Drosophila melanogaster: one gene and its partners. The protein of the gene in region 3 purifies or fractionates together with the protein of the main gene of each other region. This does not show direct contact. Each region holds a gene or a part of one and is shown on either strand. Other genes may lie near its edges. The genes, in order: Rdh1, CG12321 and Rpt5.

What was found.
Region 1: the proteins of Rpt5 (region 3) and Rdh1 purify together in Drosophila melanogaster (affinity purification with mass spectrometry, with the first as the bait; one large-scale study listed by BioGRID). This does not show direct contact.
Region 2: the proteins of Rpt5 (region 3) and CG12321 purify together in Drosophila melanogaster (affinity purification with mass spectrometry, with the first as the bait; one large-scale study listed by BioGRID). This does not show direct contact.

Annotation. Positions count from the first base shown.
Region 1 is NT_033778.4:7,663,615-7,667,442, reverse strand, and holds Rdh1 (retinol dehydrogenase 1), read right to left. Parts: upstream 1,616-3,828; 5' UTR 1,507-1,615; coding exon 1,427-1,506; intron 1,298-1,426; coding exon 1,034-1,297; intron 970-1,033; coding exon 813-969; intron 757-812; coding exon 497-756; intron 440-496; coding exon 208-439; 3' UTR 100-207; downstream 1-99. Other genes in the region: DCTN4-p62 (dynactin 4, p62 subunit), read left to right, coding at 1-42; CG2065 (uncharacterized protein), read right to left, coding at 2,319-2,547, 2,609-2,868, 2,934-3,090, 3,147-3,403.
Region 2 is NT_033777.3:18,187,305-18,190,707, forward strand, and holds CG12321 (uncharacterized protein), read right to left. Parts: upstream 1,404-3,403; 5' UTR 1,302-1,403; coding exon 558-1,301; 3' UTR 521-557; downstream 1-520. Other genes in the region: Arp5 (Actin-related protein 5), read left to right, coding at 1-520; MED17 (mediator complex subunit 17), read left to right, coding at 1,826-1,914, 1,986-3,403.
Region 3 is NT_033777.3:23,750,914-23,754,741, forward strand, and holds Rpt5 (regulatory particle triple-A ATPase 5), read left to right. Parts: upstream 1-1,962; 5' UTR 1,963-2,100; coding exon 2,101-2,310; intron 2,311-2,374; coding exon 2,375-2,795; intron 2,796-2,852; coding exon 2,853-3,508; 3' UTR 3,509-3,710; downstream 3,711-3,828. Other genes in the region: RanBP3 (Ran binding protein 3), read right to left, coding at 329-1,662, 1,791-1,806.

The DNA of each region.
Region 1 (3,828 bases), on a different chromosome or scaffold from region 3:
GTGTTTATCACGGCGGGAGCAACTGAGCAGAAAGCCAACTAAACTGGAAACTTATTAGCCAACAGGCGTACTAATCGACTTATGCGAAATATGAAATATGCTTTATGAAAGCTAGAGAAATATGTATTTATTTATTAATCCGTTCGTGAAACAGCAGCTAGTATTCAAGTATAATAAAAGGCTTGTTCTAACACTATTCGTTCTTCTTTAGTTATTAGCTTCCAGCTTATCTAATCCGGTCCACTTCTCGCTCTCGGCCCACAGGAACTTGGCAACCTTATCGTCCAAGGCACCAGAAGCCACAGGCTTTGGTTTGCAGTCACTGAAGTACAGGCCAGAGATGTTCTTAAGCTCCGGATCCAAAGCAGCGTAAATCGAGGTCTGAGCTCCACTCTTCGGTGTCTTTAAAAGCGGCCAAATCATTGGCTTTAAAAAGAACCTAGGAAGGTTAACAGGTATTACTGGGAAGGTCCTAATTCACTTATTCATCACTTACTTCACAAGGTTTGTCTGGAAGAAGGCCCAGTTCCGCGCCAGCTCAGTGTCCACCACACCAGGGTGAAGGGCATTTACTGTGACTCCGCTGCCCTCCAAACGCTTGGCCAATTCCCGGGTGAACAGGACGTTGGCCAACTTGCTCTGGCTGTAGGCTAGGCCCTCATCATACGACTTCTCGCTGTTGAGGTCGGCTACGTTAATGGAGCCACGCGCATGTGCCAGACTGGACACAACGACAATGCGACTGGGAGCCGAGTTCTGAAATTTTGTAAGACCATTATCTGACGCACTTGACTATTATATAGCACACTTGCCTTCAGTACGTCGAGCAGCAAGTTAGTCAACAAAAAGTGACCAATATGATTTACTCCCAGCTGCAGTTCGTAGCCATCCTTGGTTAGGGTCTTGGGACAACGCATCACGCCGGCATTGTTGATCAGGACGTGAAGCTTGGGTTGCTCCTTCTTGAAGCTGATTGATAGGATAGGTTTTTAAATCTTACAGAGACAAGAAAATTCTCTGGAGGTAAGCTTACCCATCAACAAATTTGCGAATGGAGTCTAGGGAACTTAGGTCCAGCTCTCGAGAGAATATATTCTGGTTATTTGTCTCCTTGATGATATCCTTGCGGGCCTTTTCACATCGGTTCATATCCCTGCAAGCCAAGTACACAGTTCCCCCACGTCTGGCTATCTCCAGAGCCGTCTCCTTGCCAATGCCCGTGTTGGCACCGGTCACAATGAATACCTTTCCGGTCTCATCGGTGTCCTTCGTAAACTTTCCACCTTGCATGTACTCCCTGGAATTATCAATAGGAATTACCTGAAAAGCTGTTATCTATTACCCGGGGGAATCATAGTAGCGAGTCATGGATGCGTAGTCACACTGGTATATTTCATAATTACACGAAATAATTACCGCAACTCACTTCAAGAAGTAGATGCCCACGCCGATAGTAGCTGGCCACATAATCAAGGGGCTCAATAAGCAATCGATGAAAATGCACATTTTGAATATCTTTGTACAATTCCTTGTATTTAGGGTGTTGTCAGATCTTATTTCAATCGTTGAGTGCGTTCTGGTACGAACAGCACAGCTGTTAATATATTACTGAGCACAGCTACCCCACACAAACATATATTATCGCTAATTCGGAGTGAGAACCTGACGAAATGGAGAACGTCGGGAGAGAGATTCTTAACGAAGGTCAAGAGAAAACGAATTCTCAATAATATGTTATGATAGTGGAAAGCATTCAAACAAATAAAAGCAATTCCATTGATGTTTATATTTACTCAATGGGTATATTACGCGTGGAGTAAAAGGGTATAATAGGTTCGCTGAACAGTATGTAACATATAGAATAAAGTTTATATTTAGACTTGATCAGCAACACTAGTCAAAACGATCCATCCAGCCATATCCGTCCGTTTGAACGTCGAGATATAGGGAACTAACTGATTCGTTATGTTACATACATACTTTCCAACTAATTTAGTATACCCTCCTACTCCAGGAATAACGGGTACAAAAATAAAGCATGAATCATCCAAATTGATTCCATCACTTTTACAAAAAAAACAAAAGAATTTGACCATTTTTCTTTAGTACTGAACACAGAAATGCAACAATGTTGATCTCAAAATACAAATTTTAGATTAGGTAAAGCTTTTTTGGGAGCATTTCTTTATTTTCAGCTTGTAGAATCCGTAAGAATTCTACAATTCAAACATAAATTATTACATTTTGCGTTAGTCTTCATTATGATAAGCTATTAAAATAATAAATTATGAAATGGCGAGGGATAAACTAATGGTTGCTTAATCAACTTTGGTTGAATTCACGCCGGTCCACTTCTCGCTCTCCGCCCAGAGGAACTTTCCAGTCTTGTCGTCCTGGGCAGCTGCGGACACTTCCTTTGGCTGGCAGTCGCTAAAGTAGAGCCCGGAAACATCCTTTAGTGCAGGATCCAGGGCTGCGTAGAGAGTGGTCTGCGCTCCATTGCGAGGGGTTTTGAAGAGTACCCACAGGAGGGGCTTGAGCAGTAGCCTAAGCGATACGAGTGTTAATATCAAACTCAAGTAGTGCCCACTTATGTCTTCTATCTTACTGTGCAAAGGGGTGTTTCAGGAACTTCCAATTCCTCGACAGCTCCGTGTCCACGGCACCGGGATGTAGGGAGTTGGTTGTGACCCCCGTTCCCTCCAGGCGCTTGGCCAATTCCCGGGTGAACAGGACGTTGGCCAGCTTGCTCTGACTATAGGCACCGATTCTGCTGTACGACTTTTCACTGTTTAGGTCGGCAGTTTTAATGAAACCTTGGGTGTGCACCAGGCTGGAAACGTTCACGATGCGACTGGGTGCAGTTTTCTAGTGAGATTAAGCAGGGAGTTTGGTTAACAAGGTGCTAAGAAAGTCCTGAGTACCCAAAATACCTTCAATACGTCCAGCAGCAAGTGGGTGAGCAGGAAGTGTCCCATATGGTTGACTCCCAACTGCATTTCGAAGCCATCCTTGGTCAGTGTTCTGGGACAGTGCATAACTCCTGCATTGTTTATCAGGACATGAAGCTTATCCTGCTCTTTCTTGAATCTAATAAACGAGGGAAATCAGTAACGCATTCGTCGATCTATCATGTTTGCGTTTACCCAGCAGCGAATTTGCGAATGGATTCCAGCGAACTCAAGTCCAGTTCTCGAGAGAATATGTTCTGGTTATTTGTCTCCCTGATAATATCCTGGCGCGCCTTCTCGCACCGGTTCATATCCCGGCATGCCATGTACACAGTGCCTCCTCGCTTGGCAATCTCCAGGACCGTCTCCTTGCCAATGCCCGTGTTGGCACCGGTGACAATGAACACCTTGCCGGTCTCATCGGTCTGCTTGGTGAACTGACCGCCCTGCATGTATTTTCTGAAATTCATTAATTCTTATCACTCTATTTCAACACAGGCCGCAATTCACGAGCGTATTAATCATTACTCAGCAGTAGAACTATTCCATGCAAATACCTTAGCAAGTAGGCAGCCAGTCCGATAATGGACGGCCAAAAATGAGGGGGCAGCACAAGCAATTAGTAAGGCAGCCCATTTTGTTTGGATACAGTATAGATCTTGCCGCCGTTTGTGTTCGTTTCACTTGCTGGTTCTGTCAATGAATGTTTGCCCGTCCGTTTGGAACTGCCTTTTATACGAAATGTACGCTATCTGCTCCAAAATACACGAAAGCCACAAAACGCTTACTCACGATGAGTTTGATTCGAAACTGCGAGAGAACGAAATATGTTTGGGGTTTGCTGAGAGCTTTTTGCTTCTAGTTTATAAAAACCTCA
Region 2 (3,403 bases), 5.6 Mb from region 3:
TAACGAAAAGTTGATGCAGTTCGATAAGATCCTAAATCACTATGATGCCAACACCGATGGCAACTCCAATGTTCCGCCACAGAGTGCCGCCGAGAACTACCAGCTGCACTTTGGGGTTGAGAACATTCGCGTGCCGGAGGTTCTATTCCAGCCCAGCATGATTGGTTGCTCAGAGGCGGGGCTAGCAGAACTAATAGCATTCGTGCTGAAGCTATTTCCCGCCGCTGAGCAGCAGCGCCTGGTTGAGCACGTGTACCTAACCGGCGGTTGTGCCCAATTCAAGGGTCTCAAGGAGCGACTAATCAAGGAGCTCATGGAAATGCGACCGTTTCAATCAAAGTTCGCCATCTACGAGTCGGATGAGCCAACTTTAAGCGCCTGGCTGGGAGCATGTGTGCACGCAGGAGAGCCCACCTTCGGTCAGACGCTGACCACGCGTCAGGACCACCAGGAGCATGGCAGAGAGTTCTTTCGGGAGCACACAGCTAGCAATATCTTTTATCCTACACCAAAAGATTAACATTTATTTGAAAGCACCGAAAAATACATGTAGACGCTTAAAAAAGAAGTTCCGTAACATCATTGCCGAATAGTAGGTTCCAGGACTTGGGCACGGTGAGCTTAAAACTGCCATCGCCTCCGTTGCGCAGCTGAAGGAAGTCTTCGCAGAGTTCGTTCAGTTCCCGGACGATTAGAGATGCATCGGTGGAGTTGTCGCCCTCGAGGAGATAGCGGAATAACAGCATGACGGGCACCTTCTGCTCATCGAAGGCTTTAAACAACTGCAAGGCATTGCCGCCGCCATAGATGGCATCGCCCTTGTGCTCCTTCCACTTGATCAGCTCCTCATTGCCCAGCTGGGCAGCATGCGCTTCCTTGAAGTTTTCGCTGGCGCGGTATGCCCATGGCGACTCCTCAATGACTCGTTTCTCGAAGCCGAAACTGCCGCTTAGAATGACTACGCGTCTGGCGCCCTTGAGGAGCTCCACTAGTTCCTTCTGAAAATGCGCGGTGTGGCGGGCAACCCATGGCGCCCGGAATTGCACGACCAGTAGCTTATCCTCCGTACCCTCGTACAGTTCGCAGGAGGAGACCTTCTCTTTGGGCTCGTGCTGATAGGCGGAGGGTCCGTAGACCGGAATCAGGGCTGGATGTGTGATGGATCCAATTCGCCGGAGTTCCTTGGACGCAATCAACAGGTCACAGGCCAGCTGCGCCGCGTTTCCCACGCAAATGCTCGGTATGATTACTGTGTGCTCTGCTACGTCCAGAGTGGTACGCTTGTCCTTTAGAAACAGCATAATTGGGTTAAATCTCTTGGTGTCCGGAATGAGTTGAAGATGCTAATTCAAGTCAAGTCAAAAATATGAAAGTAATGATTCCAGTGTTGGTGTGTTTACCAATTGACACTGGGTGGCAACTCTGGCAAGGAGCTTAATAAAAGTGCGGTTCAAAAATCAAAAGAGATAACTTCGTTGTTTAAGGTAAACAAATTTTATTTACATTTAAGGACATTTTTTTGACTGCTGCCTACTTATACTTCGCATATAAATGAATATAAGCACGTGGCCAAGCCATTAAATTTCAAAGTTTTGTCTTAAATAAATAAAACTTAATTTAAAGCAAGAAAGTAATTTTATAACACATATTAATTAAATATTAAACATTTTTAAATATCAATATTTTATACATTACATTCGTTACTAACCTGGAAAAAAGTGTTGTTTTTGAGCACTCATTTATCGATAGCCGGCCGCAGACGTTTTGCAGCACTATTCTTTAGTTTTGCTTTGACAAACCAAATGTTTTGTTTCCCGGCGCAAATATGTCGAATTCCGTGAATATATCAGTGGAAACGACTTGCGAGAACCAGATACGTGAGATTGGCTACGATGGCACCGAATTGTATCAGCCGTATGTGTTTCCGCTAGCCAGCAAGCCCTCTTCTCAATGATTTATTGGGTTCTTTGTTTTTTTCTCCTTAGGCCGCCGACTTTGTCGGAAAGTCTGGCGAAATGTGCGGCGCGCATAGACTTCAGCAAGACGTCGCTGGACGACCTCAAGAAGGAGGAGAAGTCGGCGGCAGCGGCCGCCGACGAGGACAAGGACGCCACTCAGTTCCAAGAGAGCCTGTGGCCCTGGGATGCGGTGCGCAACAAGCTGAAGGATGCGCTCACGGAGATATGTGTGCTGTCCGATGTGATCTCCATTGCCAAGGACAAGCGCTATTTAGTGCTCGATCCACTGCTCGAGGAGGCTGACGACACCAAGCCCATTGTGCAGGTGTACAGCCGCAAGAAAGCCATCTCTCAGGCAGCCCAAGTGCTCCTAAGTGGCGCTGAACGCCTGCGGAACGCGCACAGCGAGCAGCGCAATCGCAATGTCTCAGATTTCCACATAGAACTACTGCGCCTGCGACAGAACTGGCGCCTGAAGAAGGTGTCCAATGCGATTATCGGGGATCTCAGCTACCGCACCGCGGGCTCCAAGTTTGGCATGAGCGGTACCTTCGAGGTGACCAAAGCAGAAGAGACCGGTGATGAGGACACAGCCAGCTCATCCAACAGTAGCAGTAGCGTATCCGGCAACAATGGCATGCAACTTAAGGCCAGCTCCGCATTGCGAGTGATTGTTCCAGCGGAACTGCAGGGTGTCGCCTACATAAAGGTGATCACACAGAAGGATCAGGAGGATTTGTGCACCGCTCAGCTGAATCTGATGGGTCACGGACCCAATATAACTGCCCAGGTGGGTGTCTGGCAGAAGACACTGGAGTTCGCCCAGAATGTGCTCTTCTGCAAGGAGCTATTCGCTCAGTTGGCACGTGAAGCTATCCAATTGCAGGCACCAATTCCACATGTGGTCATCGGCAACCAAATTCGCGCCACTCTGCTGCCTAACATTCAACTTATTATCTCGTTGTGCCACTCAACCACCTTCGATTCCAGCCAGCCGGCGCCAATTAACGATCATGATCATGTTCTGGAACACTCGCTGCATCAGCTTCTGCGCGAGGTGCACTACAAGAACTCACACCATCCCTTTCCCCATCCGGCCAGTGCACCACTGGGACCCACTAAGAAGCGCATGCTAGCCGGTCCGATGGCCGCCGATCGGGAAACGTTGTTGGACATGACCAAGTCACAGACCATACTCGAACAGATCATCGCCCAGGCGCAGCACATTTTCATGCGAAAGCGAACACAATATGTGCTCGATACGCTGGCCAGGGATGTGAAGGACCCGCAGATAGTGTCGCATTGGAATGCCATGAACAGTCCAACCATGTCGTGTGTGAAGATTAACATTGTAACGCATGGTTACGATGCCATTGGACGCACCTCGCTGGTCATTCACGTGAAGGAGCGCTCTCTTAAATGCATTTGTCGCGATGGACGTGTTA
Region 3 (3,828 bases):
GAAAAGTAGTACATAGGGTTTGTATAGTGATTAAATTAAAACTTTTAATTAGAGCGTGTACGATCGATATCGATATCTTAATTTCGGTTTTCATTTTTAACAAAAAATTATAAACACAAAGCGTAATGGATAAATGTCTTTTGTCGACGCTGCTCACGGGTTTACAAATCAGCACTTCATTTATTTTATTTTTAATAATAATAATTATTAATAAATTATTATAATTAATTTATAATAATTCACGGCGCGCTTTATTAATTAGTGTTTGTTGTGAGTGTTTTATTTCTCCATGTATGAATCGTATAAAAAGAACAAGAGCGAGCGGCGGTTAATTCTGATCGGTTGACTCCTTGGCCTCGGCCTCAGCATCCTCGTCGCCCTCCTCAACGGGCGGCACAGGGACATCGGCGCTGCTATCGGGCTGGACGATCACCTTCTTGGGACTCGGGCCGTAGCTGTCTGCCTCTGCTGAAATGGCACCAGACGGTCCGGGAGCAGCATCCTCATCCTCGTCGTCGTGAGTCGTCGACTCCGGTTGCAAGCTAGCCGCTGCCTCAGAGGCGACGCCGTTTTTCGCTTCCTCTACGGAACACTCCTCGGGATGTGAGACCTTGCGCTTGGCAATCCGTTCGCTGAGCGCCTTGTGTAGCTGGGCAATGTCCGCCGGTCGGCCCATGGCCAGGAAGATCTTGACAACGCCAGAGTTGTCGATGGCCGTTAGTCGTAGGGACTTTTGGCTGGCTCGCTCCGCCACCATGGCGGCCCAGACTTTGGTGTTGAGAAGCAGGCGCAGATTGCCAGAAGTGCGGAACACCACGCGCGAGTCGCCCCTTAAGTCCTTGGCGTCGTTTAAGCGCAGACTGCCGCGACCACGCTCCTCCCAGTTGCTGTTAAGAAAGGCGAATAGCTTGCAGCTCACGTCGATAATGTTGATCTCGTCCTCCTCGCCGGTGAAGGTCTCGACCTCCTCGTATTTGCGTTTCTGAGCGCGGCTCTCCTCATACTCCCGGGCCACATCCGTCAGGCTCTTGGCCTCGGCGGACTCCTTGTTGTTGCTGCTGCTGCTGCAAATGGATGAGGAGGCAGCGGCCTCGCTGGTCTCTGTGGTCTGGGCAGCGTTCTGAATGACGCTTGAGAAGAGCAATGGCGCCGAGGACGACGTAGCAGCGGTGGAGGAGGAGGCAGCCTCCTGGGCTGATACCGAGCTGGCTGCCGTATCTGCATCCGGCTCAGCGGTGACCTGTTCAGCATTGGGGGCCACCACACGTTCATGCACATTCTGGCCGAAGACGAACCCGCTGGACTGAACATTTGGCATGTTGTTCTTGGCTGCTGCAAACATGCTGGAGCGCTCAATGCCATTGCTACGCAGCTTGGTCAGCGGATCCGGCCGCTCGTCGACATCGTCGTCCTCCTTGTCGCCAGTGGACTCGGCTGCCGCAGATCCGGTGGCCACCACCTCCTCGTCATCGTCGTCGTCCTTGGACTCGCGCAGAAACGGATTATTCAGCAGGGCGCTGTCTTCACCTGCACTTGGGGATGTGGAACTATTGTTGGAGCCGCTGCTGTTTGCCAAGACTGCTGGGCGCAGGACAGCACCGCCCAGGCGAGAAGCCTTCAAGGTGAAGCCACCTCGGAAACAGTTAGTTTCGACTGACGCTTCTGGAAACAAGGGGGAAAAAACAAGACTCGTTTGTCAGTTTGTTGCGAACTCTTCAAGGGCACAAGATTCGCGATATTTGGCAACTTTAAGTTATAGCAAGCATTACAGCTTGTTTTGCTACGCTTACCATTATTTTCAGACATTGCAAACTAGTCTACTTGCAATTTTAAAATATAAATTGCCAAATCTTTTACAGAATAGAGCGTTCTGTGTAAAGCCTGCCGTATTGTTATCGCTGTGTTATCGCTGTCACTATCGATAAGCGCCGGCGATGGCGCTCTGTTGTCAACACTGACTTTTTCAGTGTTGCTTACTTGCCGCTGAAAAACAAGAAATTTACAAGTCATCGACAGAGTGTTTGCCCAAAAAGATCGGCAATAATAGCATTTTAACAAAGAATTACATTCAGCAACGGCTAATCAACAATCGTATTAGACATGGCTCAGACTCTGGAGGATAAGTCAATCTGGGAGGACGGGGAGGAGTCCCTGGGCGAGGAGGTGATGCGTATGTCCACCGATGAAATTGTGAGCAGGACTCGCCTGATGGACAACGAGATCAAGATCATGAAGAGCGAAGTGATACGCATAACGCACGAGATTCAGGCGCAAAATGAGAAGATCAAGGACAACACCGAAAAGATCAAGGTAGGGATGACAATGAAACGCCACCCTGCCAAATAGCCTCATTTGTTAAGTACTTCCCCATTAGGTCAACAAGACACTGCCCTACCTGGTGTCCAATGTAATAGAGCTGCTGGATGTGGATCCACAGGAGGAGGAGGACGACGGCTCCGTCACCGTTCTGGACAACCAGCGAAAGGGCAAGTGCGCCGTCATCAAAACATCCACTCGACAGGCGTATTTCCTGCCCGTCATCGGCCTGGTTGATGCCGAGAAACTGAAGCCAGGTGATCTGGTCGGAGTCAACAAAGACTCCTATTTGATCCTGGAAACCCTGCCGGCAGAGTATGATGCCCGCGTAAAAGCCATGGAAGTGGACGAGCGACCTACAGAGCAGTACTCCGACATTGGAGGTTTGGACAAGCAGATACAGGAGCTCATCGAGGCAGTGGTGCTGCCCATGACGCACAAGGAGAAGTTCAAAAACCTTGGCATTCACCCACCCAAAGGTGGGTATCTCACTCGAACAAATGTCACACAACCATATTAATCCTTGCCATTTACAGGTGTCCTTTTGTACGGCCCCCCTGGAACTGGCAAAACATTGCTGGCCCGTGCCTGCGCCGCTCAGACAAAGTCCACCTTCCTCAAGCTGGCAGGTCCCCAGTTGGTGCAAATGTTCATCGGTGATGGTGCCAAGCTGGTGCGCGATGCCTTCGCCTTGGCCAAGGAGAAGGCGCCTGCCATTATCTTCATTGACGAGTTGGACGCCATTGGCACCAAGCGTTTCGATTCGGAGAAGGCCGGTGACCGTGAGGTCCAGCGAACTATGTTGGAGCTTCTTAATCAGCTCGATGGCTTCAGTTCCACTGCAGATATTAAGGTGATTGCGGCCACCAATCGCGTAGACATTCTGGATCCTGCTCTGCTGCGCTCTGGTCGTCTGGATCGTAAGATCGAGTTCCCACATCCCAACGAGGAAGCCCGTGCCCGTATTATGCAGATTCACTCGCGTAAAATGAACGTTAGCAATGATGTGAATTTCGAGGAATTGTCCCGATCCACGGATGACTTCAACGGCGCCCAGTGCAAAGCCGTCTGTGTGGAAGCTGGTATGATCGCACTGCGTCGCTCCGCCAATTCGGTTACGCACGAAGACTTCATGGACGCCATCATGGAAGTGCAGGCGAAGAAGAAGGCTAATCTTAACTACTACGCTTAGACTAAAAATTTGCAGTTTAACTTCACATTGTCAGCTCCCATTAAAATAAACCATGGAAATGTAAAATTTTTCAGTTTCGATCTGAGTTGCCCCTTGAAGATCGCCTTTAAAATAACATCGCAACGGCTCTTAAAAGTAACTAGAATGGGAGACGTACTGAAATCAATACCCAACCTTTTTAAAATAAACAAAAATATATATCAAATGTCGAGCGATTCATTGGTTTATCAGTACAACATTTACATTCTGAGTACGATATTTTTTAAATATCTAAAAAGGTCGGTTTTAGAATTAATAAAAAATATTACATCGGGCGAAAT